Rattus norvegicus: one gene and its partner. Each later gene encodes a partner of the first gene's protein in a complex. Links are inferred from orthologs where the notes say so. Each region holds a gene or a part of one and is shown on either strand. Other genes may lie near its edges.

The links.
Region 2: the proteins of Robo3 (region 1) and Nell1 are in contact, whole or in part, in a crystal structure (PDB 6POL), measured with the Homo sapiens proteins. The link is inferred for Rattus norvegicus from reciprocal best matches to the Homo sapiens genes ROBO3 and NELL1. Residues at the interface, in NP_071765.2 of Homo sapiens: Ser553, Pro555, Val590, Glu592, Phe594, Pro596, Asn600, Thr601, Trp602, Thr604, Ile624, Leu626, Arg630, Gly633, Ala634, Trp635, Gly636, Leu637, Ser638, Glu639, Pro646, Val647, Arg648; in NP_006148.2 of Homo sapiens: Ala440, Lys441, Met442, His443, Tyr444, His446, Tyr458, Arg468, Val469, Asp470, Asp471, Phe472, Ser473, Asp478, Ile492, Cys493, Thr494, Asn495, Thr503, Cys504, Lys505, Pro506.

The regions. Positions count from the first base shown.
Region 1 is NC_086026.1:45,329,932-45,333,751, reverse strand, and holds part of Robo3 (roundabout homolog 3), read left to right. Parts: intron 1-1,252; coding exon 1,253-1,424; intron 1,425-1,697; coding exon 1,698-1,903; intron 1,904-2,017; exon of another isoform or gene 2,018-2,127; coding exon 2,128-2,209; intron 2,210-2,494; coding exon 2,495-2,660; intron 2,661-3,188; coding exon 3,189-3,355; intron 3,356-3,820. UniProt on the Homo sapiens protein: Receptor involved in axon guidance during development. Acts as a multifunctional regulator of pathfinding that simultaneously mediates NELL2 repulsion, inhibits SLIT repulsion, and facilitates Netrin-1/NTN1 attraction.
Region 2 is NC_086019.1:109,698,911-109,702,730, forward strand, and holds part of Nell1 (protein kinase C-binding protein NELL1 precursor), read left to right. Parts: intron 1-1,188; coding exon 1,189-1,365; intron 1,366-3,338; coding exon 3,339-3,563; intron 3,564-3,820. UniProt on the Homo sapiens protein: Plays a role in the control of cell growth and differentiation. Promotes osteoblast cell differentiation and terminal mineralization.

The DNA of each region.
Region 1 (3,820 bases):
AGTGATTTTCTCTGTGGAAGGAGGGTCACTATAGTAAACTACAGTAAATCTACACTTCAGGAAAACTACAAGATCTTTGTTCCAAACCCATGGCCACAATTCCCCAACATCTCCAGTTCTTGTGACTGTTGCATTTTAATTAGGTCCTCATGGGGATGAAAATGGTGTTGGTAGGAGGGAGTAAGAGGGGAATCAGAGTCTCAGCCTGACCTGTTGTCCAGAGACTAAAACTTGTTTTCTCTCCTCTCCACATGTCTCTCTAAAGTAAAATGCTAAGACAGAAAATATTTAGCCTTTATCATGCTGTTTTATGAAACATTCCCATGATTCCTTCATACTGAGTTTGATCCCTAAGCTCTGAGAGTCAAATTTGGGGAAATTGGGGCTTATAAAGATATACTGGGCCAGAGATTTTATTTATTTTAGTTGTTGTTGGTTAATTCTTCTTCTTCTTCTTCTTCTTCTTCTTCTTCTTCTTCTTCTTCTTCTTCTTCTTCTTCTTCTTCTTCTTCTTCTTCCTCTTCCTCTTCCTCCTCCTCCTCCTCCTCCTCCTCCTCCTCTTCCTCTCCTCTTCCTCTTCTTCTGATTTGTTTGTTTATTTATTTATTTAATGTATGTGAGTACACTGTTTCAGACATAACAGAAGAGGGCATCAGATCCCATTACAGATGGTTGTGAGCCACCATGTGGTTGCTGGGAATTGAACTCAGGACCTCTAGAAGAGCAGTTAATGCTCATAACTGCTGAGCCATCTCTCCAGCCCCTAGTTCTTCTTTTTAAAAAGATTTGTTTATGCTCATTGGTGTTTTGCTCGCATGTATGTTTGTGTGAGGGTGTCAGATCTACTAGAACTGGAGTTACAGACAGTTGTGAACTGCTATGTGGTTGCTGGGAACTGAACCCAGGTCCTCTAGAAGAGCAGCCAGTGCTCTTAACCACTGAGCCATCTCCCCTGGCCCCAGATAGTTCATCTTCTGAGCTAAGGCCAGTCTCTTAACTTGTGATCCTCCTGCCTTATCTCATAGCTAAGTTTCTTAGAGGTTGTCAACCAATAAAGTCACAGAACGGGGACATGGAAGCTGAGAGCTTCTAATAAATGTCCATTACTTTTGTCAGTTGGCTAACTAATTGACCAGGGTCATGTCAATGACTGGAGGCAGAGTGCAAACTAAAATCTTAAGGCTTCTCTCAGCAGGAATAGGGCTCTCTACACACTGCCAATTCCCTATCTTGTTTTCTTGCTCCATTCCAGGTCTTGCTTTTCCCTAGTCAGTCACTCCAGCCCATGGGACGCCTCTTAGTCTCTCCAAGAGGCCAGCTCAACATCACTGAAGTAAAGATCGGGGATGGTGGCTACTATGTGTGCCAGGCTGTCAGTGTGGCTGGTAGCATCCTGGCTAAGGCCCTGTTAGAGATAAAAGGAGGTACGTGTCTGTGGAGAGAGGGTTGGACCCAGGATCCATTCTTTTAAGAGGTCTGTTTCCATTGGATGTTGTTCAATGTGTCTTAAAGGGAAATGGCATTTTCCTGAGGGACATTCTTGATGTTTGGAAACGAGCAGCAAAATGGTCCCAGGCAGAGACTAGACATGATTGTTAAAGCCGTCTTGGAGGACAAGGAGGGAGGGATGAGATGATGAGCCATATAAGGCAGAAGGACAAAGGTTTCCTGACCCAAGTTCTCCCTCTCTCTCTCAGCCTCCATAGATGGACTACCTCCCATCATTCTCCAGGGACCAGCCAATCAGACATTGGTACTTGGCTCTTCTGTGTGGCTGCCATGCAGAGTGATTGGAAACCCTCAGCCCAATGTCCAATGGAAGAAGGATGAGACGTGGCTGCAGGGGGATAACTCACAGTTCAACTTAATGGACAACGGCACACTATACATTGCCAGTGTACAGGTGAGTGCCATCCCTGGAGTCCCTGTAACTGGAAAATAGCTATCTGGTCCACATTCCAACTCTAGTAAGTACCAACTAGGCATCTAATCCATTTCTACCTCTCTGCTCTCTCAGACTTCCTAAAGTATCCAGCATCTTCCTCATCCTTCTGTTACCTGCCTCTCCACCCCTTCACCCTACTGTGCTCCACTTCCAGTGGGGCAGCACTCTACCTTCTCCTACAGGAGATGGACATGGGTTTCTACAGCTGTGTGGCCAAGAGTTCCATAGGGGAGGCCACATGGAATAGCTGGCTTAGGAAGCGAGGTAAGTTAATTCACTAGTCTAGTCTTGCCAGTAGCTTTCTCCAAATTTGTTTTTTAAAAATAGTCATTATCTTCTGAGCCCCAGGATTAATTTTGTCTTCCAAATGCTATGTTGGTGGGGATGGGGATGGACTGGTACACTTGGGAGGCAGATGTGAATCTGGGCTAATATACTATGTTACCTCTTAGCCATTGCCATTCTTGGAGTCCTATAGCATTTCTAGGAAGGAGGCAGGTCTCACTTTCTTCCCCAGTCTCTCTCTCTAATGATAATCTATCACTGCAGAACATTGGGGAGCATCACCAGGTCCAGCAACAGAACCCGGTAATCCTCCAGGCCCTCCCTCTCAGCCAATAGTCACAGAGGTAACCACAAACAGCATTACCTTGACCTGGAAGCCCAATCCACAGTCTGGGGCCAGAGCTACCTCCTATGTGATAGAGGCCTTCAGGTATGGAGACTATTTTGTGCGTCTGTATATGTGTGCTTGCAAGTCTGCATGTGTGTATGTCTACGTGCACACAGAGACCACAGCGTAGTATCAAATGGCCTCCCGTATGGTCTGTGAGACAAAGTCTGGCTTTGAACCTGTCTCTCACTAATTGGTTAGACAGGCTGACTGACTACTCAGCTTTGGGGATTTGCCTATCTCTCTGCCCTCTTCCCCCAGCAAATGCTAAGGTTACAGATGCATGCCACCACACCTGGGGTTTATGTGGGTGCATTGGATCTGAACTCAGGTCCTCATACTTACTCAGTAGTCAATTTACCTACTGAGCTATCTCTCCAGGCCCACGGAGACGACTATTGATACAGTTAAGAAGGGGGGTGGGATCCTATGTCCTTAGGGCCTTTGCTATTTTGAGAGAACGATTCTCTACCCCCTCCCCCAAGGAGGTAGTATGGTTCTGCAGGGAATGGGTGAGCCTGAGTTGGGCATTCCTGGCTTAGACAGTCCTGTCATCTCCTTCCTTCTTAGCCAAGCAGCTGGCAACACGTGGCGGACGGTGGCAGATGGGGTACAGCTGGAAACGCACACCGTCAGCGGCCTGCAGCCCAATACCATCTACCTATTCCTCGTGAGAGCTGTTGGAGCCTGGGGCCTCAGTGAACCCAGTCCTGTCTCTGAGCCTGTTCAAACCCAGGGTAAGGCCAGAGGCCTTATGGGTATGTGTATGATTGAGTGAGAGCAGGGAGTAGCCCCCACCCCATCCAAACCACAGAATGGTGGTGGTTCACCGGGCTTTCTTTTGATATGCCAGGTCTATACTGACAGCCCAGATTACAGCCGGATGTCATGTTTCTCTCTCCTGAAGGCCCAAGGAAGGGAGGAGGGGGAAATGAGGGTGCCTGATAGGCAGCCATCTTAGTCATCCTTCTCAGGAGCTCCCTTACCGTTGAGCCTCCTAACCACATATAGTACAGATTGTTAAGACTAGAAGGGACTTGGAGGGAATCAAGCCCATATGAGAGACAATGAGTTGAGGTCTTGAACGGATGCAGAAAAGAAGAAAAAAGAGACCATTCATATTAGCTGCTCCTCCTGGTTACCTCTGTAAAAGACTCCCCTAACACGGCTGTGCTGTAATGCATTGCAGTCTGTGAGCCTGG
Region 2 (3,820 bases), on another chromosome or scaffold:
GAGGAAGGGGACAACTGACTACAAGCTCTTCAAATAAGCAATATAAAGACTTCCTCGTAGAAGAAAATTCTTTTGAAACTCTTGGACTCAATTGTAGGCTTAGAGATAACGCTGCACTGTGTGATCTGTATAAGGCACTCAACGTCTCTGGACCTCAGTTAATTCTTCCCGTATCCCTTAAGATTGGGACACAGATGAAAGTAGGCAGTGCATTTCAGTGTGTCTGCTGGTGTTCTGGAATAGTAGGATAATGTAGTCCCATGGTTTTCCACTGAAATCAGGTTATTTTCTTATTGATTGTCATAGCACACAATACCACGCTTTCATTACATTCACACACACACACACACACACACACACACACACACACACACACACACACACACTGTGAAGTTTGCTTTTATTTCCCCCCACTTCCCTAGTGTTCTACTTTCCTCTTCCTGTCTGTTTGTCCACCACCTTGTAGTCCCCCTTCCATCCGGAATGCATTTTTCTTTTTTTTTTTCCGGAGCTGGGGACCGAACCCAGGGCCTTGCACTTCCTAGGCAAGCGCTCTACCACTGAGCTAAATCCCCAACCCCCGGAATGCATTTTTGATCACATTTAGTTTAGCTGCTTATGTTAGTTCTAATTCTTAAACAGAAACATATCTTTTCCATTAATTAATTTATTTATTCACTTTACATCCCAATCACAGCCCCTCTCTTACCAGTCACCGTGTACATAGCCCCTCACCCATCTTGCCCTACTCTCCTCTGAGGAGCAGGAGGCCCACCTTAGTACCAGTCCACCCTGGCATATCAAGTCACTTCAGTACTAGGTACATCCCCTCCCGTGAGGCCAGATACAATTAGGCAGCATAATTAGGGGAACAGGGTTCACAGACTGGCAACAGAGTCAGGGATAGCCCCTGCTTCACAGAAACATATTTTTAAAAAATCATTCAAAGAGCATATTGATTATTTTTCCCTTTGGTGCCCTTAGGAATGTCCCCATTTTGACTTCGCTGGCTCCCATAAAGAAAGGCTGTGCCTGCTTTGAACAAGATGGGAGATGGACAATATAGATTCCGAGCTAAGAAGTACATTCTGTGAGCTCTACGGTCTATTTGCAAGGCTTGATTTTTGGAGTGCATCTGTGCATACATTTTCCTAATCACAAAACCTCCTTGACCTCACTTCTTAACAGGATGGGAAGATATTCTGCCGGCGGACAGCTTGTGATTGCCAGAATCCAAATGTTGACCTTTTTTGCTGCCCAGAGTGCGATACCAGGGTCACCAGCCAATGTTTAGATCAAAGTGGACAGAAGCTCTATCGAAGTGGAGACAACTGGACCCACAGCTGCCAGCAGTGCCGATGTCTGGTATGTCAGTTTCCTGGGGATCCCGATGCCTTTACTCTAGAAAAGGTTATAAACTCACGAGCTCTTGGGCTGGAATTCCAAGATGTTTCCAGTATTACACAGTGCATCATGGGCTATGCTTAACCACTGACCACGTGCTTTTGACACAATCTTTAATACTGCCAATAAAAAAATGTAATAGAAGTGATGGAGTTTGGGTGAGCAAGACTGAGAAACCATTCTGTAATTGTCTCATAGGCTAGCTTATGTGGACACTTTGGATATGTCAAAGTGTTTCAGCGGTTAGTCTTTTCCATAAATGTTTACAGGTTTATGGGTACCAGTTCAAAGATTCTTAGGAAGATGAGAGAACGTATGTGAAGGATGAGTTCTGCACTCCTAACATAGTAGGTGCTTGGTTCAATGCCATAGAAGACCCTTAATGTGGTAACTGCTATCGGTGCTCTTTTATCCCTTATAAATGCTGTTCAAACAGAACAAAGAATATTTTTAAATATTAATATACAGATATTAATACTGTGCCTGGATTTGGGAAAGTTCAAAGAAAACGCATAATTTCCATATCTGGTCCAGTGTGTTTCAAATACAGACAATGGTTTCTAAGAACGGGAAGACTTGAGGGCATGGTACATTGAGGATAGCGGTGCTCCATCGGCTTCATCTCCGAGCATTCTACCTGAGTCAGCTTATAAAGCAAGGTTTTAGCTTGGTGCTTAATAGCTATTGAAATGAATTTTTCTCTTTCTGGGTATTATATGGAAACTAGCACCCAGAGAAATTGTTCTCCCAGTTTCCATAAATCCCCTGGCAAATGTACAAGCAGTCATACCATGTACCTTTTACAATCCATCTTAATACAAAGACTGCAACATAGATAAATTCTGTTCATGGCCAATTTTACAGATTCCCTTCCAAGGACAAATACACCCAGGACAACTACATACCTGTTTCCAGCATCAGTCTGGAAAAATCATTTTTCTTTCTTGAGAATCCAGTCATCAGATAGCTAGAATTACTGGCATTTATCTTGCACATGATGTTTTCACTCAAAGGGTTTCAAAACAGCATCTTGAATGTCCAGTCTTTGGGATGTACATTTATTTTTGAACTCACAGAAGCTATTGAGCATTAACTTGAAATTACTTTAGAATAATATTGGTCACATTTAATAAATGCTTTATTGAGACTTTGCTTGTGCCAGATTCCTAGTGATATCATACAAGCAAAGCAGACATAGGCACAACATGAATAAGCCTAGATGCTAGATACATTGATTAAATAATTAAATCAGTAGATGAGAACCACTGCAGCAGACAGTGACCCAATGACAGTGAGGTGGTGTGGAGAGACTTCGCTGACATAGGCAGCTCAGTGATGCCCACAGCCAGAAGAGGACTCAGGTAGAGCCTCCATTTGAGCTGTGATTTAGAGACTTTAGAGTCATGGGGTGGCTTCTCCAAAGAACATCCAGCCTCAGCTCTGAACTTGAATCCAACATCTCAGTTGATGCAGCTGTTGAAATATTCCCTGTCTCTGGGTCTCACTTTGGACCTTAAAAGAAGTAGGCGTCTCTTCATACACTGCCCACACTTCATTTTTTTTTTTTGCTTGTTTGTTCTATTAGTATCTGTTGGACAAATGTTGAGTTATGTCAATTACACAGCATAACCTGAAAAGACCAGTACAGCATGATGAAAATAACTATATTCTGTGCTCAGAACACAAACAAGCTGATTAAAGACTTTCTGTGAACTCTGGGCTAGGTAGTCAGCAAAACCATCCTGAGGGAATGATACCTTCTTAGATGTGTGTAGAAGGTATGTCTTCACAGTGGACGATGGATCGTGCACATCGCAGTGTGGGCTGGAAGCACTCAGTAAGAAAATAATGAGAATTCTAATGCTTTCTTTGCCCTAAGGGAATGTAAAACTGTATAAGGATGACCACAACTCATTTCATCTTCCTCTCCACAGGAAGGAGAGGCAGACTGCTGGCCTCTGGCTTGCCCTAGTTTGGGCTGTGAATACACAGCCATGTTTGAAGGGGAGTGTTGTCCCCGATGTGTCAGTGACCCCTGCCTGGCTGATAATATTGCCTATGACATCAGAAAAACTTGCCTGGACAGCTTTGGTGTTTCGAGGCTGAGCGGAGCCGTGTGGACAATGGCTGGATCTCCTTGTACAACCTGCAAATGCAAGGTAACCATCAGCCCTGGGGTATATGAGCCACAGATAGTTTCCTTTTGAAATCTCTGAATTCAGATTCCATGGAGTGTATGTTCTCACAGGAGGACATTAAGTATAGATAGATAATACTGGTACTTGTATAAAGGCAGATCCAAATGGACATGGAATAATAAAACATGCCTTAAAAGCACTGAATTTTAACAACTGACTATAATCTCAAACATAGAGAATGAAAGTTAATTTAACCTACAATATAGAAAAATAATGGG